Linked DNA regions of Yarrowia lipolytica. The protein of the gene in region 2 purifies or fractionates together with the protein of the main gene of each other region. This does not show direct contact. Links are inferred from orthologs where the notes say so. Each region holds a gene or a part of one and is shown on either strand. Other genes may lie near its edges. The genes, in order: YALI1_A21919g, YALI1_E15144g, YALI1_C30632g and YALI1_E16493g.

Region 1 (5,444 bases), on a different chromosome or scaffold from region 2:
CCTCCTCGCCAAACCGTTCGGCAAACAGCGAATGGTCCTCAGAAACCGCCAGCAGCAGTTTTTCTGACGCCGAGAAGGAGGGCATGCGGTCCACACTCATGCTGTTGATGCTGTTGTAGAGCTTTTTGAGACAGTCGAGCGACGGCGCGTCAAAGTACTCGTCCAGAGCGAGAATTAGCACGGGCTTGAAGATCTGAAAGTAGGGGTAACGCGTAATCAGACACATACTCTTGACGATAGCGCCTCGTCGCACGTCCTTATCGAACTTGGTATTGACGAGGTTGAGCACGTAGAACATGTCGCCCTTGTCGTTGGGGCGGTACTTGAGCAGCCCGTTTTCGTCGTGCAGAAAGAATATCGTCCAGTCCTGGTTGCGCACGTGGCTCTGATCTGGCAGCATGAGCTCCGCCATGAGTTGCTCGTCGCCAGGAAGCGTGTCGGGGTATTGGTACTTGACCACAGGGCCTGCGTCGATGTCGAACTCGGCCGCCAGGACATACTCGATGTGGAGCAACGGATTCAGCGTCTGCATGGTGTCCTCCAGGTGGTGATGCGGTCTGGCCAGAGATCCTGATGTAAGGTGTTGGGCTTGTATGTGTGTGGTTGATGTACAAGTAAACGACAGGGGGCCAACTTTAATTTCGTATAGCGGAACAAGTTGAGTGTACTCAGGGGAAAGTAACCTTTTGCAGACGCGCAAATACGCAAGACCGAAGAGAGTTAAGAGACCGTGCGAGGAGGTGGGGACGAGCTGTCAAACACGAGCACAGAGGGGAAATGTGTCAGAAGTTGTATACAGTGCACGGACGCCGAGACTGATGGGCCTGTACTCTGTCCGAAACGGGGTCTAAAATAGTACGGGGTTCGGCTACCCGGCTTACACGTTAGAGCACTAATAATCATGGGGCTTTTAGTATGATACAATACTGTACCAGTAGGTTTGTGCATGCCCCTTTTCGCGTTCTAATTAGGCAGTGTTTTCATAGACTCGTGTATTTGTCTATCGTTTGGGGGTAGGGCCGTTAGTCTATCATACTACGAGCGAATGGCGATGTTTCGAATTTATGATTGGAAATAATTAGCGTCTACAAGTACAGTAGCTATCTATACAGAAACAAGGCACAGGGTTTGGAGTCCATGACAGGGGGTCGCCTCGCCAGTACTGAACTTTTAGTCTCTGTTTCGGCGTGATTAACTGCTTCTGTATATTACGGCAGATCCTTCTCTGACGGCTGCCGCCATGACACATTGTACAAAAGACGAGTGACACAGCACATACAATACTACAATGCAGTACAAGTAGCTACAGTACGTACAATTGGTCAACCATAGGATATAGAATCCACTTGAGGGGGAATTATCATAACACAGAACACTCAAGACCAGTATTAAAAAGCTAATATACATCAATTAAATTCTATTTAATCCTGGAAGTAGTCAGCCATCTCGGCATCGAGCTGCTCCACAGTCTTCTTGGGGGCCTTCTTGGGCTTGGGCTTAGTGGCCTTCTTCTTCTGCTGCTGCTGCTGCTGCTGCTTGGCCTTGGCGGCAGCGTTGACGGTGGCCTTGGCGGGAGCAGGCTCGGGCTTGGGCTGGAGTCGGGCAGACAGAGGGGTCTTGGAAGGGTCGTAAACCAACTCAACCTGTGTTAGTATCCAAATCGCTTCGTCTCAAGCAATTATCGGCACGCAGTAGACGGCAATCAATGGTATTCCTCCTCCAGAGTAACATCTGCCTGTCCAAATAAGGCAGAGTGTCAATTTGATGGTGTCATGGTCGTAATTTGTCGTCACTGTCGCCGGCATTTCCCTCCTCTTGATTCTCTTGATCCTCCTCTGTTATGTCTAGCTGCTCACCTTCATGTATCGCTTTCCACGGTCGATGGAAGTACCGTTGAACTTGTCGGCGGCCTTGGCAGCATCACCTTGTCGCTTGAAGGTGACATTGACGATTCCGGCAGGGTGTCCACCCTTGTTGTAGACCATGGTGCAGGCGGAAATGGGTCCGATCTCAGTCTTGAAGTAGTCCTAATGGTCAGCACGAGTTCTTAAGGAATCACGTGAATCACAACGGAACTGATCCGAAAATGGGGAGCAAAGCAGAGCATAAATGAGTGTCAGAGGAATCTGACAAGGATTATACAATGTCTTACTGGCGGCTTTAACTCTGACCCAGCCAGGCTGGTGCAGACTTTCATTCCTGAGAAATCCCAGTAATAGGGACAACCTGCGACAAGCAATTTGCAACAGGTTTGCCAGCCTCCAGGGGCTGACTTCTGAAACTGGACATGGATTTTTCTTCCCTCGCACAGCTGCAAAGACAAGGCAAGGAATATGCGCAGGTCTTTGATCATCAGCTTTCAATCCGGCTCGTGTCACATTAGCAATGAGTGCTTTCGATCTTTCTCTCCATTATGACAACAAGCAAAACCCACCGCTCTCAGCTCTCTAGCAGCTGTTTTTGAAAAGGCCGTTCAGTTTCAGTTCTCGGAATGTCGGTTGGCCATATAAGCATGGCCGTGAGCGCAGGAATCAGTCCGAGGACGATCCAGATCTGCTCCCGAAACCGCGTATCACTTCACCACATTCTTCACTGGGAAGCGTCTGGCTACTCTTCACCTTATTCCTAAAAAGAAGGAAATTCGGTTACTCTTCACCAAGAATTTTGCAGAGCAGAAATACTGGCTACTGTTGAATGAGGTGCTGCCATCACAAAAATGGCAACTTCCCTTGCTACTGACTTTCGAAGAAAGCGTTCACGAATCGGTATCAGCTCCGTTGATGTTGCTGTGTGCGCCTTGAGGCTGCAGGTGCAACTGAGTCCACTCCACGCATCACTCTAGCAGTGTCGCGTGTGTGTATCTTCGGTTTAACATACTCGAATGGCGTCCTCGCCAATGTCCTGGGGCAGGTTGGAAATAATGACCTTGCTGGCGAGCTTCTTGGCCTCGTCAATGGGGTTGACAATAGCAGCGACCTTCTTCTGCTGCTGCTGCTTCTGCTGCTTGTTCTTGGGGGTACCAGCCTTGGGGGCGGCAGGGGTGGCCTTCTGGACTCCACCGTTTCCAGCAGCGCTTGCTCCTCGTCGGTTCTTTCGGTTGGATCGCTTGGGGGCAGCGGAGATGATCTCGTCGAGGGACTGGTCGAGGTTGGACATGGTTGAGTGTGTGGTGTTGTGTGGTGTGGAAGTACGAGGTTCGATTTTCGTCGGCGAGTTGGGATAAGTGGCGCTGGCAAATTACCCCAGCTCTCGGCAGGGTAACCCCAATTGAGTTTCCTCACCAAGGCCAGGGTTCAAAACGCGCTAAACCGTTGGTGACATACCCCATTTGTAACATGGTGGGAGGGTGATATATGATAGATAAATGGGTGCGTGATCAAAATAAACGTGTGTATTGTATATGCTGCATCCTTATATATGGTGGTGCTGTACTTGCCCTTGGACGGTGTGGTAAAGAAGTACACACTCGAACGTAGTGCATATCCGTATACCAGCCCCTTTCTTAAATTAAGTTCCTTCACACATGACTTGAGAAATACAAATACGAATACCAGAATTGAGGGATACGTAACTAGGGGTATTTTTGTGACAGGAACAAGTGAGAGATTACACGTGGTACTCTTGAACAATTTTAGCAAAAAACAAACTGTGATTTGTACCTCTCAAAACCTGATGTCCAGCCGTTGAGGCTGATTGTCTATAGACTAAAGCTCTCGTTTAGCCAAGCTTGGTAGGAGATGAGGTGGGCTACAGGTACAATACATACATGTGGAGAAGCCATCAGTCAGGGTGTCAAGAAGTATTTGTCTATGAAGTTTTCAAAGTCCAAATGTGTCCTCAATCCCTTTTCTGGTCACATGAACACTCTCCGTTTCAGTAAACACCCTATCTCATGTCTCAAATATACGGTTCAGATTAAGTCCACACATGACGCGTTACATCTGCACTCCACCAAAACAACAACCAAGATGGAGTATCAGGAGCGGCAACAGACACCTGAAAACGGCAGTCAACAGCCAAATGGAAACCATCGAATCCCCAAACCGTGGGACAAGAATTTTCAGCAACAATCTCACACCCAGCAGCCTTATACCCCCCAAGTTGTGAAACAAGAGCCACCCCAAACACCAAGCGCCTATTACACGCCGCATACACGATCCGCCCCAGGAGGTGAAGACATGTCTCATGGACAGCGATATAACGGATATATCAAGCAGGAGCCTGGACTGGAGGATGGAGCAGCTATCGACCCAGCTCTGTTCGACATGGGTGCCTCTGGTACTGTGTCTTCAGTACCTCCCTCAGCACCTCATTCGGGCCATTCTTCACGACACTCAAGTCCAGCCATACCTTCCACACAATTTCAGACCCCTCATGTCAGTCACAGAAATACTCCTGAAGCAACTCCGCTCAAGTTGGCCACCCCTGAAGCCACTCCCTTGAAAACAGAAACCCCTGCAGTTGTCCCTGAGACACCTGTTCACAAGATTGTGGCCACCTCCTCAGATGATTACGACGCTGTGACGTCATTCAAGATTGCAATTGACAAGATATATCCTGGGTGCTTCTCGGGAACTGCCCAGACGCTAATTGTTCAATCTCCCCTATCGTACAAACACACTTTTGGTCGTTCATGGATGGGAAAAAAATACAAGGACTCGTTGGTGGAACGACCCGAGCGGCTCAAGGCTACATCTCTAGGTGTTGGCGCGGCTATCGCAAACAACCCGGGCAAGTTTGAGATTGAAGAGTCTGTCAGACAGGCTAATTTGTCCAGTGAGCATGTGACAGCTGTCCATGGCGTTGAGTATATCAACTTGCTGGAGAAGCTGTGTCTGGAATCAAAGGACAAGCTTGAAGCTGGCCAATTGGAACTGCCTCCTGGTTGGCCCGAGGGTGACATCTATTTGTCCCCTGAGACACTGACTGCTCTAAAGGGCGTGGTAGGTGCAGTTGAGCGTGGTGTGGACGCACTGTATGATTCAGATGTCTCCGAAACTCTCCAGAAACTCTCAATTGGCGACACACCACCTCCCGAGGGAAAGACAAGCACTTTTTCGCAGGCGTTTGTTAACATTAGACCGCCAGGGCACCATTGTCACGCCTGCGACCCTTCCGGGTTCTGTCTAATCAACAATGCCCATGTGGCCATCCAATATGCTGCTAAGCAATACGGCGTGACACATGCAGTCATCCTTGATTTTGATCTGCACCACGGAGATGGGTCACAAGACATTTGTTGGTCGCAGGTGAACGTGGGTGCAGACACCACGCCCGAACACACCCCTGAGCCCGAGAAGAAGCACTCCTATCCGTCTCCCACCATTGGGTATTTTAGTGTGCATGACATCAACAGTTTCCCTACAGAGCTAGGCTATGCCACTCCAGATGCCCTTAGAAATGCGTCTACTTGTCTCATGGGCCATGGTCTAGCCATTTGGAAC
Region 2 (6,720 bases):
CTATGAGAAAGTCTCATAAACATCATAAATTTGTCTGTATCACCCTCTGTATCACTGAGAGTAAGATCTTTTCTCAGATGGTTCCTTGACGTAACTTGGTACTTGTCTGGGAGCCACTTAGTTCGACCTCATAAAGATGAAAGCGGTTCCCCCATCAGTTCAGTTATCTTTTAAAACTCATCTTTCAACTTGCAGTCTTTTGATGGTCACTTCAGGAAGTGATAATAGTCGAGAGAGGTCTCTTCGACCCCTACCACACAACAACAAACATTGATGTCCATCAATACCATTGTTAAAACATGAATATTATATACTCGTAAGAAACACCAGTAGTGTGTTTATATTCTACATTTCTACTACCCTCGAAACACTTTGAAACGGTCAAAAACGTCCCTCGTTTTTTGTTTTTGCTGGGTTTTTTTTGTTTTATTCTAATGATTCATTACTTTTTTTTTTTATTCTAATGATTCATTACAGCTATATACCTACAAGTAGTAAGCCGGGTTATTGGCGTTCAATAAATCATACATTTTTTTATTTTTTTTATTCTAATGATTCATTCTATTTTTCAACATTTCTGAAAGTGGATGCCAAAAATCCGTGTTTTTAACGAGGGCGTCTGGTGTAGTTGGTTATCACATGCGCTTAGCATGCGCGAGGTCCCCGGTTCGATTCCGGTGTCGTCCATTTTTTTATAATCTGTTGATACAGCAACGATAACCGTTTCATACTTGTGATTTTTTTTTCTTTTGTATCTTTCGATATCGTCATGACATTCGGTGATATTATTTCAGAATCGTGGACCTTCTCCCAACTCCTTTGTGAACGCTACCATGCGATAATACCTATAACAGCATTCAAAGACAGATGAATGGAGGCACTGTGGAAGAAGAATATATATAATGGCCAATTTCCTCAGTTCAGTTACTTCACGGATCCTCTATCCAATTTAAAGAGTCAACCTCTTCACTCTATGGATTCACGCTTCAACGCTAGATACGATAGGAATGACACTACCTGCAGACACAGAATACAACTGATGCCACTGGCGCGGGCGATAAATAAATCTTTTCTGGAATAATGTCCCTGCAACCTGCTTTACTAGCGCTTTCCAACTTGGGTGGATGTGAGCTTCTGTTATGGATTCAGTAGACACGACTCTCGGAAAGCGAAAGGCTTCGAGAGAGCAGCCCTGGCTCAAGAATTGTGCTCTCCTATCTTCAGCTCCTCAAATCAAGAGCCCGGTCTACATCGTATAAATAAAACATCTATTAAATCATCTAGCATAGTCTCGACCACCTAGCCACTTTTCTACATCTTCTGCATCACTGCCTCCAGCTTCTGCTTGACCTGGTCGTCCAGGATCTTCTCTGTCTCGTCCTTTCGGGCAATCTCCTGAATCAGATTGGAGATGTCACCCTTGAGAGGCACAATAGTGGGGTCGTTGTGCTCCAGCAGAGCGGCAAACAGGCCAAAAATGGGCACATACTCCTCCTGGCCGTCGCCCAGAGGCAGACGAGCCACCAGGGCAGGCACCACCTCGCTGATGGGTACGGAGCCGGGAGCCTTGAGGGTCATTCGAGCGACACAACCGCAGGCGTTGGCCAGACATCGGTCGTTGTTGTCCTCGGGGTCGTCCGACAGGTTCTTCTTGGCCTGCTTGTCGACCTTGGTGAGCAGGCGCTGCAGCTTCTGGAGGATGGCAGGGTACTGAGAAGTGAGGTCGACAGTAGAGTTCTCGGCCAACACACCAAATGCAAATGCGGAGTTGGATCGCACATCGAGATGGGCGTCGGTGAGACCCTTGATGCAGATGTTGAGAATCTCGCCGGTGAACTCGGAGACGGAGGACTTCATGCCGACAGTCATCTCGGCCAGAGCACCAATGCCAAAGGCTCGCTCCTCATCCATCTTGGAGTTGGCGTAGTTCTGCACGTAAGGGAATAGAGCCTTGAAGATGGGCACAAAGTGAGCCTCGAGAGACTCAGACATGGCTGCGCACACGTCAAAGGCGTAGTCCAGCATGAGGGAGTCGTACTCGGACTGCTCGAGCTCGGCAGCGTCAATCTCCTCCTCCTCCATCTGGGCGGGGTGCTCCTTCTTGAGCACAAGGATCACCTGGGAGCAAATGGTTCGCAGGGTGTCCTCGTCGCCGAGAATGGCGGGTCCAGCGGCCTTCATGGCCTCAACAAGCACCTCGCAGATGGCAATTACCACCAGTCGAGAGTCCTCCTCCTCCAGAAGCTCGACGGTCTTGGTTCGAGCAAGCTGCAGGAAGGTGGACAGAGACTCGGGGTAGGCCGAGGTGTCCGCGGGGAAACCGGGCTTCCATTGGGGAAGGTTGGCCATGCTGTAGAGAGAGTGGAAAATCTTCCACACGGCGCCCAGAGCCTCCTTTCGAATACCCTCGTAAAAGTGGTCGAGAGCAGAGAACAGGGGATCGGTGATCTCCTCCAGGAAGTTGAGGAACTGGCCCTTGGTGGCGAGGATCATGTCGCCAAGCACCTGGAAAGCGGTCTCCTTCTGGGTAGCCAGCAGCGAGTTGACCTTGAACTTGGAGTCGTCGTCCTCCTGTCCAATAGCCTCATCATCCTCATCCTCATCCTCAAAGCCGAAGTCGTCCTGTCCCAGGAACTCGACAAGCAGAGGAATAACTCGAGGAAGGTACTGGCCAAACTCCTCGCCGTACAGCTTGGCAATGACGCCAAAGAAAACAAAGCCGGCCTCTCGCAGCAGATCCACCTGCAGAGTAGCATAGGCCTTCTCGGCAAAGGTGTTGACGTAGGGTCGGAAGGCCTCCTTGCCAATAGCGCCGGCAATCGCGCCGATAGTGTCAAAGGCGGAGCCCTTGACGGCGAGCTCGACCTCGGTCATCTCAGCGGCATTCTCGAGGTTGATAAGCTGGCCAAGACCGTTGATGCACTGCTCGGCGTAGGGAGTGAAGGCCTCCTTCGCAGCGAAAGCAGCGGAACCAACAGCAGCGATCAGAGTAGTTCGCAGAGAGTCGTCCTGGGCCTGGTCCAGCATGGTGATGAGACGGGGCATGAGCTCGGCCAGGTACTTCTCGGCGATGACGTCCTGCTCGAGAGTCTCAAGCACAGACTCCAGGGCAGAGGTGGCAGCCTTGAACTGAGCGGGGGAAGAAGAGGCATCCATAGCAGAGCAAATTAGAGGCACCAGAGTAGCGTGGTGCTCACCAATAATGTGGTGCAGGTGGTAGGCCAGACGGACAAGAACCATCAGAGCAGACACGTTGGTGGGGTTCTGTCGGAGAGTGCCAATGACAGACTCGAGAACGGGGTCCAGGTGAGTGGCCACGAACTCGGGAGATCCCTCAATGGCGTAGGAGAGAGCAGAAAGCACAGCGTCCGAGTTGGGCTGCTGCTGCAGAAGCTCAAAGATGGGGACAAGCACCTGCTTGGGAGGCAGCTCGTTGGACAGATAACCAATGACTCGCAGAGCAAGCTTTCGGGTAGTATCCTCATCTTCATCATCGTCGTCCTGCTCGTCGGGGAACTCGGCAATCTGCTGTGCAATGATCTCGACCATGGAGTTGGTGAGAGTGGGCCCAAGACCCAGAGCCTGCAGTCGTCGCTTCTTGAATCGCACGGCAGAGATCAGGAACCGTAGAGCGGCCATCTTGTTCTCGTCAGAGTCGCCTCGCTTGGCAATCTCCAGCATGAACTGGACGAGGTCGCCAATGTGATCAGCCACAAGAGCGCCCTCGATGAGAAGCAGGGTTGAGAAGACCTCAAACAGCTGCAGGGTCTTGTCGTCGTCACGCTGCATGGCACCCTTGAGCACATCGACCATCTGGGGCACCACCTGCTTCTTGAACATCTCGGCATTAGAGTCGGAAGAGTCAATCAGCTCTGAGATCATACCAGCGCACAGCATGGAGGTAACCTGCAGCTCGGCGTCGTTCTGAGCCATGTTGACGGACACCAGAGGAAGAATGTTGGAGGCGTTGGTCACAAAGGTCTCGGCACCCACCTCAAGCAGAATGTAGATGATGTAGGTAGCGACCTCTCGATCTCGGGCGTCTCCAGAGCTGATTGCGGTGTTGAGGCTCTGGGGGAGCTCATTCCAGGTCTGCAGACCCAGCTCAATCTCTCCAATGGCAGCCACAACACGGGCAGAGGTGTGTCGTACAAGGGCCACCTGTTCGGCCAGAGTGGACTGGAGAAGCGAGTTCTTGATCTCGTTTCGAACGGCCTGATCGTTCTCCTCCCAGTAAATGGGGATCTGCTTTCGGGCCTCGATTCCAGCCAGCTGCTTGATTCCAGAGTCCTCGTGCTTCTGCATAATGTGGATCAGAGACACGGCACACTGAGGGTTCATGTAGAACTCGGCCTGCAGTCGCTGAGACGCATTTTTGATGTCCTCAGGCGATTTGGGGGACGTGATTTGGCCCAGAAGCTGGGCTAGTTGCACCGTGAAGTCGTCCATCGTGTAGTGAGGTACAAGTTAAGAGGAGACTGTGAGATAGCGAGAGAAAATTTAAACTTGGAATTTTTTCGATTAGAGTTGGGGTTAGGGGGTGCATCTGTGCACTCAAACAAGGACCGATTACGATTACAGAGCCGGGGTGTTTTACAGCAATTGACGTCGCACTGGCGTAGGGACGGGACCGCGGTCACGTGCGGGGGGTCGAGTCTGTCTGGTGGTCACGTGATTTGGCAAGTCTACCGCGGCCCCGTCGTCTAATATCCCTCCCCCTTCAAAATTCCGTCGCAATCTCACTTTCAACTTGCACTTACTTTGAGCCCCTTTTTTTCCCGTATTTTTCGGTTTCTTTTTCCCTATTGTCTTTTTTGGCCCCCTTGCACACACTGGCATACGGTGGAAACAGACTGTATGTACACCGCACACCGTCGGAATGTAGTTACGTAAGCGCACCAATCATTAGGGAGCTCTGCACGCAAATCCAAAAAATATTTTTTTTATCCCTGTGCACACACCGCTCTGACGCAACTCATCAAACTCAATGTGGCCTGGATGAGCCGAAGATGAAAAAAAATATCGACATTGAATAATTTAGGCGTCTACAGTATGAGTGTTTGGATTGGTTGTTCAAGTAACCAAGGAAGCGTTAGAGTATTATGCGTTAGTGTGCTGAATAACTGGTACAGTACGAGTACCAGTGCAAGTAGTGCTACAAGTGGTATATGTAGTATGTATACAAGTACTTTAGAAGTACAACATGGACAGTTGTTGATACAGTGTACCCAGTCCCTTGAAGGTATACACTGTCAAGGGAGCTGATCGATACGATATTTCCTGTCTGCTGAGAGCAATGCAGCTGTAACGTCTATAGCTACTGTGCTGTTCGCTCAGTAATATTCATAAAATTTTATTGGGAGATTTTACAACCGCCATGCTAACTTGTCTAATCAATCTTGATTGCGGTGTAGATCTTTCGCACAAAGAAGAAGGAACAGGTGTAGCCCACGGTTCCGAGCAGCACAAACATAATGAGGGAAATGATGGCGGAGTAGCCGAGATACAGAATGTTGGAGGTGAAGGAGCCCAGAGCCAGCTTGTTGATGAGGAACAGCAGAGCGTGAGCGTACACGTAAAAGGCGCACGAGCCGGCAATGAAGAAAGATCTCCACTGCCAGTGGTAGTTTTCGGAGCACAGCAGCAGGTAGATCATGAGCACAGTGACAACAACGGTGGACACCAGCATGAGACCGTACGACAGGAACAGGAAGCCGAACATGTAGAACATTCGGTGGAACCAGATGGAGCTGACAATGAAGTACAGCTCGACGAAGATGGCCACAAAGGGCAGAATACCAGCAATGGCCACAGAGGGGACCTTTTCCAGGTAAAAGGGCTGCTGAGGGATCTGTCGGGGGATCTGGTTGGTCTTGACAGGCACAGAGAAGGGAGTCTTGGCGATGAAACCTCCAGCAATGGACAGAGGAACAGAAATGGCGAACCACACGGCAACCAGAGCAAGCATGGTACCGAAGGGAACGGCTCCAGCAGAGTTGTAGGCAATCAGGAAGAAGTTGAGACCAATGAAGGCGGCAAAGATGATGGAGGGGATAAGCACGGGGGTCAGAAGAAGGTTCATCTTCACGTTCTCACCGCCCATGGTGTTGTAGAACTTTCGAGACACGTAGCCCCCGACAAAGCCAGACAGAGAGTAGAAGAGAATGAAGGCTGTTCCAAGAGCTCCTCGGTTGGAGGGCGAAAGGAATCCAATGACGGCGAAGAAGACTGTGAGGCCGCACATGACGAACATCTGAGCTCCAGAACCCAAAAAGGCACACAGAATCATTCGGTTCTTAGGAGTTCGGAACACGTCTCCATGCACGAGCTTCCATCCACTGTCCTCCTGAACCTCCTCAGACAGATCAATCTCATTGTAGGAGGCAATGTCCTTTCGCAGAGCTCGGGTCAGAACGGTAGCAACAGTAGTAGCCAGCAGAGTGACGACGATGGCGGAGTTGATGATGGCAAACCACTGGACCTGGGGGTTGTGGACCTGGAGGTACTTGTCCCATCGGGTGGCCCAGGGGGTGTCTGAGTGCTTCCAGGTGACCGAGTAGGTGAAAACCACCTGCTGCTTAGTATCGGGATCAGTCTGGAGATGCAGCTTGGGGTAGTCACCACAGAGGTCTTCCTCGGCGCCGGATCGGTCGAGAGATCGCGGCAGAATTTCCACGCCAACCACTCGGTGCTTGCCCTGCTTGGTGGTGTGGTACTCCA
Region 3 (5,063 bases), on a different chromosome or scaffold from region 2:
GCGTCACCAGGTTGTTGTTCAGCAGGAACAGCGTGTCGGAGATATCGGCGTTAAGCTTGTCGAACTCGGGCGAGTCCGAGTACGCCGGCTGCGCCTCCAGGCTTACGGCGTCGCTGAAAGAACTCATGTGTGTGATTAGTATCGTAGTCGCGGAATGCCGAGATAAGAATAAACACACTGCATGTGAGCAGCTCCCAAATAGGAAGCGAGTGATTACGTATGACGCCACCAAATAGAGTTGCAAGTGGGGTTATTTTGGAGGCAGAAAAGGCGCTTTTAGAGGCCATATTTGAAAGAAATGGGATTGCATTTTGATGTGAGATTTTTCTGTGGATTTTAGGGAGTATTTCGGTACAAAAATAATCTTTCTGCGACGGTTTTTGGGCTCTAGGAATATACGATAAAAAGTATTATTTAATATATAAATAAATATATTATGAATATACATAAATAAAAAATAAATAGAAATAAATAGAAATAAAATAGAAATAAATAGAAATATATAGAATTATAGAAATAGAAATAAATATAAAAATAAAAAAATAAAAAATAATATTTTTTTTAAGAGGGTGATAAAATATCTATATATACATTTTCACTCACGAACATAGCCTAGGAATACAAAAACATGACTATTTAACCTCCTCCGGCGGCAGTTAAGTCGGAGTCTGAAGATGGCCAAACCAGTTCAAAGTCTGACTGTAGTTTTGACGATGTCTGCGCCTCTTGTTACACACTATGTAGCTCACGGTACCACTGTTACTCACCCACAGCCTCGTATTCCCTGTACACAAATGTTTACACAATATCATTTATTGGTTATTCCTTCTCATGCTATACATCCTTATCGTTTCCTGGTCCTCTCTCTAGAAAACGAAATCCTTCTTGAACTGGTCCACCTTGGACTTGTCTGCTGGAGTCAACGGCTTGGGCACCTCGCCCTTGAGGGGAGTGCTAAAGTCAAAGTCTCGTCCGTACTTTTTGGCAGCCTCGGATAGGGGAGTAGAAGGAATACCTGCCTTGGCCAGTTTGGGAGTGGAAGGCAGAACTGGCTTATCTTTGGAAATCTCAGGGTACAGAGGCTTGGAGGGAGAGCGAATGGCAGCAGAAGATGCCAGATCCTTGCCGATCTTCACATCTGTATCTTCGTCCCCGGAAGGAGAAGACGATTTCAGCTTGGAGGTGAAACCGTTGTTGGTCTTGTTACCAAACGTGAAAGAAGGGGGCATGGATTCAGGCGATCCCGACGAAGAAACTGCAGTTTGCTTCGGCGCCGAGGTCTTGGTGCTTTCGGGAGACTTGGGGTCGGCCACAAAGGAGTCTCGCAGATTACTGGATCGCACAGGCTTATACTTGTCAAACTTCTTCATCTGCGGCTGGGCCTTGACGCTATCTCGCTCCCGCTGCTGTTCCAGAGGCATGGACTGACTGATGATCTGGGAGGGGGTTTTTGACGGCGACGCCTCCTTCTTTTCGGGGGAAGGAGTCATGAGTTTCTCACGCGACGGGGGGGTCAACTGACTGGCAGATCGTTCTCGCTCGGGTCGTCGAGGAGAAGACGCGTAGGGGTTGATGAACTCCTTTGCGGGAGAGGATTCGGCTGGTGTGACAACCTCTTCTTCGTCATCATCAATCAGAGACAGAAGAGTAGAAGCCACTCCAGAAAGAGGTCTATCTGCGACAGAAGAGACCGGTGAGGTGATGGGCGATGTGGAGTTTGTGGTTGTGACTCGGTTAGGCGACAGGGCCTGTCGTGCAGATCGCTTAGGAGAGGACATCATGGGAGATGGACGGCCTCTAACTCCACCGAGGGACGATCTAGTGACACGGGAGTTTCTCTGGCCAATAGAGGCCATTGATCTCGACTTTTTGAGAGTCCCATTAACACTCGCAGCGGGCTCCATTCGTCTGGGAATCTTGGAGGGCGATCCGTACGTCTCGTTGCGGCCTGCCAGATTGGCCAAACTCATGCTATGACGAACCGATCGGTCGTGCTGGGTTCCTGTAGGCGACAGTCGTTCGGCGAGATTGGGATCGTCGCTGGCCGCCTCGTTGATGAGTGCCAGTACACCTGCGGTTTCCACATCACTCAAAGGAGCGTCTCCTTTTCTCTCGAAGAACTCTGCCAGGCGTTGGTTGGGCGATTTTCCGGGGCCCAGCGAAATGCGTTTGTGTCGGGGCGGTGTCTGCGATGGCGTGTACACCGTTTCTGTGATCTCCTCCTCCATCTGGGGCTCTTCAAAGGTCCGCGACCGGTCAATCACGGGGTACAGCGCTGAGACGGGCGGGTCCCGGGCCAAATTTGCAGGCGAGTGGCTCTGTGTTGGTTGATTGGGGTCGTCGGGTTTGTGCGGGCGGAAAAACCCAACCACCCGGGAAAAGAGACCGCTTCTGTGTCCCTCAGCGGGGGGGCTGGCCGCCGACGGGCCGGGGCTGGGGGGCGGTCCGTAGGGAGACCCCTCGGAGGCTGCGGAGCGAGCTTTTGGTGCGGACGACGCGGGAGTTTTCCATGATGCTGCGCCAACGGTGTGTTTGTCGACGTTGGTGTCGTCACAGGCGTACAAGTAGTTAGTTAGTGTATCATGTGGATTTTTTTGGCACCATGCATGTTGGGAGGTTGGAGGTTAGGGATTTGGCTTTATTGGGGGGGCTGAGAGAGCATTTTGAGCAGCACTAAAGAGGGGTTGGAGGGGCTTTTTGTGGGATATAAACACATAAATCTGATCGTCGAAGCTTCCTGTCTAGATTTGTGTCTTTGGTTTCCCATTCTGATGTCCGATACGTCTCCACGAGGCGTCGTGTTGACGGCCTACAGTTCAACCGCTGGTACAAGCGAGCTCATGTCTGAAAACGCTATTGGCATGAGGTTGAGCGGGTGATCTGAGATGAAAGGAAGTCGACAACCGGCTCCACGAGTATGGTAATGTGAAGTACTCCTCCGCAATCATCAACTCCTCCGCAAACATCAACTCCTCCGCGACAGTCCGGCTACTCCTCCGCGACAGTCCGGCTGCTCCTCCTTGACGCTCAGTAGCCATTCAAACATACCATTCTAAACTAGACATCATCACACCCCGGAATACTCCATCAGTGCCGTAGTCACACAAAACCATCCTCGTGACCTCATATAATCGGACTTTGTACAAATCCAACATTCGCCATACAAAATGATCCCCACAGCTCTTCCTCCACCTCCATACAGTTGTCCATCCCCAGTCAGACTCTGAAATACCCCCACAAGTGTAATTCTCGTCATACCCGTATATTGAACACTTCTTACTTTCCTCCCCTCCCCTTGCCCTCCCACTATATGAAGCAATACCAAGTCCACAAGAACTACAATCACTCCGGCGGCAATGTTGCACCTCGCTCATATCCACTCTTCGAATCCCCGCAACGTCGTTATATCGCCTTCAATTGCTTCCCCCAACCCCGTCGTCTAGGGTTACGTCCCAAATTACCCTACCGGATAACCTCGTGAGTTCGAATCTCTCTTGTCATTTTTTTACCCGAGCAATAACCCGACCCATGAGTTCCCCCGACGAGATTGTCGACTATCTCGTGGAAAACGTGGCCCTGTTTGGTCCCGGAGGTGAGTGTCCCGGCTGAGTGACGCAAACGGCAAAATGGACAAAAAAACCCCGTCTCGACAGTCCACCAGCCAAATGGTCGATATGCAGCATCGCAGAGGGAAAAATATTTTTTTGCGAACGCCGCAATTTACGTGAAGAGGCAAGAATGGACGTGTTCGTGCGTGTGTCTGGTCGGTGTGAGCTGTTCAGTCTCTTCGGAGACAGGATCAGGGTGTTTTTGGTCCACTTGAGACTAGCTGATAGCTCTAGGGAGGGGTGAAAAACGCCCAAGCTGTGAAGAAACCCTTCCCGAACGTTCTAGATGGCGATGGAGTTTGATTGAGGGTGTTTTTTCTCTACAGCGGTCACTTTTGGTCGAATTGTGACTGTACTCAACAGCACTGATAGGACTGCCCAAGTCTTCTCGTTCGTTGCTATGCCGTTCGCACCTGCGCCATCCCTGCTCTCCAATGTTCCATGACTCTTCTACCCTTCTCTCACAGCTCGTACACTCGACTCGTGTTCTGCTAACCTAGGTGTAACCCTCCCCCAATTGTGGACACTCTCCTACGACAAGGTTCCAAATCTCACGCCCAAACTCCAGCAAGTGATTTGGAAATGGCTCATGAACCATCCCAGTATGGTCGTTGGAGTCAACGGAGAAGACGAGACCGAGACCGTCAACAAACTTGATTACAAAACTCTGCTCGAGACATACCCCCAGGACTCGGTTCAGGTGTACGCTGACGAAGACACCCAGTGGCGTACTTTGACGGGCAGACCCAAGAAGAACAACCCCATTGGAGCATTCCCCTTTGAAGCACTGTGTGTTGTTGCCGCTGCTCGAGAAGATGGAGCTACCGCTGTGCAGATCACCAAACAAACTGGCCAGGATGCGCGATCCATCTTTGGGCGGGTCAACGCACTCATGGAGCAGGGTCTGGTGTCTCGTTTCCCCTACTATGCCGGTCACAACACGAACCTGATTGTGTACCGATCGTTTGTGGCTGCCAACAGAAGAAAGCTGGGTATCACTACCGGCAATGCTGCTTCGTCTGGAGCTGCAGGAGTGGATATTGCTGATTTCCGAAAACGGCTGGTTGAAGCTACTTTCAACGCTCATAACAGAATCAGACAGTACCTGGACCTAAGAGACGAAATGGGCTGTGGCAAGACCCGACGTCTCAAGTCGTACTTTGCTCGTGCTGTGCGTCAGCTGGAGGCTAATGGCTACCTCAAGCGAGTCTATGTGTACCCCGACCCTAGCAAGGATGAAAAGTACTACTGTCTCAAATTCCTCAAGCCTTATGTCAACACCACAGATATGGCTGGTGTCGATGAGGATGACGACGAAGAGGAGGAAGAGGAAGAGGAAGTCGAGCCTGAAGAGGAGGAGAAGATTATGGGCTCTTTGGATGTTATGGACGACAGTGCGGGAATCAAGATGGAAGACGTTGGAGAGCCCTTGCTGCCCGAAGAAAACTCTCATAT
Region 4 (4,650 bases), about 140 kb from region 2:
CTGAAGAACTTCAGCCATGTGAAAAACTTCAAGCGCTGTGGCGACATGGCTTCCGACCAGCGTTGTCGCTCGAGGAGCACACCCGATGGATTCGCAACACCTGCGTCGCCTCCCTGATCAAATGAGACAACGTTGGTAAGTACGGAGGCTACTTGGTCAACTGGCTCGGCTGTAACAGTAATTGTCACCCAAGCTCCCTCTCCGGAGGCATGTTCACAGCCCACTTGGACGAGCTCAGAGCACAGGCTTCTAGTATCGGTACAGGTGCGTACCAGCAATAACTACTGTATCTTCGTGATGTTAAGATGTCTCTACGACCTGAAGATGCGTCCACGACCACCACCTGAAGATGAACCTCTATTTCCCACTCTAACCAACCCATCTTCTTGACCTCAGTTCTGTAGGAGATGTAAAGTCGATGAAAAAAGTTCTCATAACTACACTACTCGTACTCGTACCGTAAAGCACAATGTACAAACATCCCTAGTACACCAATGCAAACAGCCACTCGTCGTCAAATCACACATCAGCTTGCAAGAAGTTGTGTCACAATGCTCTTCTGTTGAATTCGACAGATTCGCTGAACTCGACAGATTCGCTGAACTCGACAGATTCGTTCAACTCGACAGATTCTAGAATGTTCCAGAACCCACATCCAGAACCCACATGCCTCGTACAAGACGATAATCCCTCTGAACACTTGACGGGCCGTCGACGTGATTGTACATGTACATGAAAAATGCCCTCCAAACGTCACCGCTTATCTGCCCACGTCGATTGCACATTTAGTTTGCTAATTATGCTAAAAAGCCTTCAAAATGTCGTCGACAGCACAATACCAACTTCTTCAGCAGAGCCGTCAGAAGCCCCAAATGAAGGCGCTCAGAAGTCCCATCAGCTCAATTGGACGTTAAAAGACATTCTACATGTTTTCCTACCCTCCAAACCTCCCCCTGATCCCTATAAACACCTCCATGTCCTCTTTACACCCGCCAAACCTCACCAACTAAATCATCCTTAGAGTTGCACTAAGGCTGCAGTAATGAGTTGTTCATGCACACGTACAATTGTCTCCATGATCATGCTATCATTTATTAATTCTTACATGTGAATGCTCTTGCACTCTATGTACAATAAGTTAGTCTATTAAAAGTTGTCCTCAATGGCCTTTCGCTGGGCGTCGGTCAACGAGCTGGGGAAGTCCACCTTGATGGTGATGATCAACTGACCACGCTCACCAGGCTTCTTGGAAATGGGCATACCATAGTTGGGGTAGGTGATAATGTGGCCGGGGTTGATGGGCAGACGCTGCTCAATCTTGAGCTTCTTGCCCTCCAGGGTCTCAATGATCTTGGTGAATCCACACAGAGCCTCCTTGAGAGACAGCTTGATGGACATTTTGAGATCATCACCGTCTCGAGTAAACACGGGGTTGGGCTTCTGCTCAATGACAAACACCACATCCTGCTGGCCACCGTTGGGCTGAGAGTCTCCCTCGCCAGCAAAGGTGAGCTTGGTGCCTGCCTTCCAGCCGGGCTTGATGTTGACGGTCAGCACCTTCTCTTCGGGCTGGCCACTGGGGCCCTTTCGGGTGATCTTCATTTTCTTGGTGGCACCGGTGCACAGGTCCTCCAAAGACACGGGCATCTTGACTGTCACCTGTGTTCGCTCGGGCGATCGGGCCCTCTGGCGCGGCATGCCTCCCATACCGCCCATGCCGCCACCCATGCCTCCTGCACGGCGGCCAGCACGTCCGCCAAAGAGGTTGGCGAATCCTCCGTAGTCGTCTCCCTCATCGTCGAATCCGCCCTGCTGTCCGAATGAGTTGAAGATGTTGAAGGCGTCGCCAGACGAGAAACCACCGAAGCCACCCGGACCACCGCCACCAGAAGAGAAGTGGAAAGTCTGAGGGCCACCACCGCCTCCTCCACTAGAGAAGCCACCTCCGGGGAAACCTCCGGCGCCGCCGGGAAACCCGCCTCCGCCCGGAAACCCGCCTCCTTGGCCGGGTTCGGGCATGGGAACTCCTCCTTTTCGAGCAGCCTCTAGACCATACTGGTCGTAGAGCTCTCGCTTCTCCTTGTCTGACAGAATGTCGTACGCCTCGGAAATCTGCTTGAACTTCTCCTCATTTCCTCCGGGCTTGTCAGGATGGTACTTGAGAGCAGCCTTTCGGTACGCCTTTTTGATGTCCGCCTCGCTGGCGCCAGAAGACACCCCGAGGTCGTCGTAGAGCTTTGTTTCTTTCACCATAGTATCGCTTGTGAAAATGTATGGGTGTAGTAACCTATGTCGTGCGTTACAAGAGCCCGCAAAAAAAGTGCTGACCACCCGCCTTAAGTATTGCTCAGAGCCTATTCGCACTCGACTCTTCTGGAGCCTTCGAGATTGGTTGTGAACCTTCCAGCGTCTTCGCCGCGATAAGGTTGGCAATTGGGACCACGACAGAGCTAAATTCCAAGGCGGCAGTTTGGCTGTGAGTGTGATATATATATACTTAGCGCAATAGAATAGCTACAGAAAAAAGAGGGAAAAGTCACGTGACAGACAGGATGTCGGAGCGCGCGCACGTAGAGAGAAATTCTTACCAATTGAGCGTTCCCCTCGCCACCCATACCTCCTCCTCTCGGTGTTAAAGTGTACGTAGCGTAGCTACTGTACTTGCAGGCGTGTGTGTCAGGCAGGGCAATATTAATACATGAACCGCGCAAGGCCAAAAAAAAAAGACGAAAAAAATCCACGGAAAAACCCGCAAACTCAGCCAATGGATCGCTCTGGCCGCTAAACAGACCCAATTTTCCTCAATTGACGATCTCAAATGAGTACCTTCGAATTTCCATATTTTTTATCAGGGTTAGGGTAGTCCTGATTTGGCTGATTTCTGGGGGGGGGGGAAGAGAGAGGTCCACCTCACGTGACCATAGCTTAATCTCGCCGCTCCCAATATGCCGTTTAGTCCGTGATATCTCGAGCAGCACGAAACAGGTTGAATCCATGGGTTCGGAAACAAATCAAGCATCCGCGCAGCCTCAGCAGCCACCGGCGCAGCCCCAGGGCCAGGTCCAACCCCAGCAGCAGGCCGCGGCAGCCGAGTCGGACATGTCTGTGATTTTGTGCTCGTCGAGTTACGATAACACCATCAAGTTCTGGGAGGCATTGAGTGGAATCTGCTCGCGAACCATCCAGCATCCTGATTCGCAGGTCAACAGACTGGCAATCACGCCAGACAAGAGGTATCTGGCAGCAGCAGGAGGCAACACAGTGCGGCTGTACGACATTCGAAGTAACAACCCCAAGGCGGTCATGACCTTTGAGGGACACACAGGCAACGTGACGGCATTGGCATTCCAGTACGATGGCAAATGGATGGTCACTTCGTCGGAAGATGGAACAGTCAAGGTCTGGGATATGCGGACCGCCACAGTCCAGAGAAACTACAAGCATAGATGCCCCGTTAACGATGTGGTGATCCACCCCAACCAAGGAGAAATCATCTCGTGCGACCAGGAGGGAAACATTCGAATCTGGGACCTCGGCGAAAACACATGCACTCACCAACTGATCCCCGAAGAAGACGTGCCTGTACGATCAGTGTCTGTGGCGTCGGATGGATCAATGTTGGTGGCCGGAAATAACAAGGGCAACTGCTACGTGTGGAAAATGCACAACACCCGCGACGTGACTTCTCTGCATCCCATTACCAAATTCAGATCTCACTCAAAGTATATCACCAAGGTGCTGCTATCTCCAGACGTCAAGCACCTGGCCACCTGCTCCGCAGATAACACGGCCCGAATCTGGTCCATCAAAAATGGATTCTCGTTGGAAACTACTCTCACAGGACACCAGCGATGGGTGTGGGATTGCGCATTCAGTGCTGACTCGGCATACCTTGTCACCGCAAGCTCAGACCATTACGTGCGGCTGTGGGAATTGGCATCTGGGCAAATCATCAGACAATACAGTGGCCACCACAAGGGCGCACTTTCGGTCGCCCTCAATGATGTTTAGTCTACTAACCAGCTTATGTATTTTATTATATATCTATGTATATCTTTCATCTTCATGTGCTTTAATCACACAGTAACAGGAGGAGAAGACATGGGGCGGTACCAAAACTCCAGTTTGCCCTTGATCATTTCCACCTCAGGACTCACATCCAAAATATGGATGGACTGGGGGAAAGATCCGTCAGCAAGAAGCCCGTCATGAGCAAGATATTCGTAGAGGAAGCCGCACAGAACAGACATGTCGTGGTCAAGACCATGCTTACTGACCACGAGATTCGCGTCAAGCTCCAGATTGTCATGGTCCTTTCTCACAAGATCGCCACAGATCATGGTCTGCTCAACGTAGGGGCTTGCAGGATGTGTGAAGCTGAGATTCTCGTGAGCAGACGAAAAAAAGGCGTAGGCGAGATTCACAATGGACTCCAAATCGTCGTCCGAAAGGAAGTCGTTCTCCCTGGACTCAGCAATATCACCGGCAAGAATTCGCAGGTAGTTGCCGAGCATAAAAAGGCTGATGGAAACAACGGGGTTGTATGACGACATCTGAACTCTGCAGTACCGCAACTCCACCAACGCCTCCAATAGTGCTACGGCAATGGTGGACTTCAAGTGAGGCAGTCGCTCCCAATCGGGGATCTCT

The links.
Region 1: the proteins of YALI1_E15144g (region 2) and YALI1_A21919g purify together in Saccharomyces cerevisiae (affinity purification with mass spectrometry; 4 studies listed by BioGRID). This does not show direct contact. The link is inferred for Yarrowia lipolytica from reciprocal best matches to the Saccharomyces cerevisiae genes KAP123 and YRA1.
Region 3: the proteins of YALI1_E15144g (region 2) and YALI1_C30632g purify together in Saccharomyces cerevisiae (affinity purification with mass spectrometry; 8 studies listed by BioGRID, with this or other methods). This does not show direct contact. The link is inferred for Yarrowia lipolytica from reciprocal best matches to the Saccharomyces cerevisiae genes KAP123 and NUP60.
Region 4: the proteins of YALI1_E15144g (region 2) and YALI1_E16493g purify together in Saccharomyces cerevisiae (affinity purification with mass spectrometry; 3 studies listed by BioGRID). This does not show direct contact. The link is inferred for Yarrowia lipolytica from reciprocal best matches to the Saccharomyces cerevisiae genes KAP123 and SIS1.

Annotation. Positions count from the first base shown.
Region 1 is NC_090770.1:2,189,602-2,195,045, reverse strand, and holds YALI1_A21919g (uncharacterized protein), read right to left. Parts: upstream 3,157-5,444; coding exon 2,878-3,156; intron 2,028-2,877; coding exon 1,857-2,027; intron 1,644-1,856; coding exon 1,422-1,643; downstream 1-1,421. Other genes in the region: YALI1_A21945g (uncharacterized protein), read right to left, coding at 1-532; YALI1_A21913g (uncharacterized protein), read left to right, coding at 3,738-5,444. UniProt on the Saccharomyces cerevisiae protein: RNA-binding RNA annealing protein. May have a role in pre-mRNA metabolism. Component the TREX complex, which operates in coupling transcription elongation to mRNA export.
Region 2 is NC_090774.1:1,512,149-1,518,868, reverse strand, and holds YALI1_E15144g (uncharacterized protein), read right to left. Parts: upstream 4,450-6,720; coding exon 1,312-4,449; downstream 1-1,311. Other genes in the region: YALI1_E15115g (uncharacterized protein), read right to left, coding at 5,390-6,720.
Region 3 is NC_090772.1:3,060,449-3,065,511, reverse strand, and holds YALI1_C30632g (uncharacterized protein), read right to left. Parts: upstream 2,229-5,063; coding exon 867-2,228; downstream 1-866. Other genes in the region: YALI1_C30653g (uncharacterized protein), read right to left, coding at 1-127; YALI1_C30614g (uncharacterized protein), read left to right, coding at 3,529-3,592, 4,109-5,063. UniProt on the Saccharomyces cerevisiae protein: Functions as a component of the nuclear pore complex (NPC).
Region 4 is NC_090774.1:1,647,092-1,651,741, forward strand, and holds YALI1_E16493g (uncharacterized protein), read right to left. Parts: upstream 2,254-4,650; coding exon 1,147-2,253; downstream 1-1,146. Other genes in the region: YALI1_E16501g (uncharacterized protein), read left to right, coding at 2,995-4,011; YALI1_E16531g (uncharacterized protein), read right to left, coding at 4,077-4,650. UniProt on the Saccharomyces cerevisiae protein: Required for nuclear migration during mitosis. It is required for the normal initiation of translation. Might mediate the dissociation of a specific protein complex of the translation machinery. Essential for viability.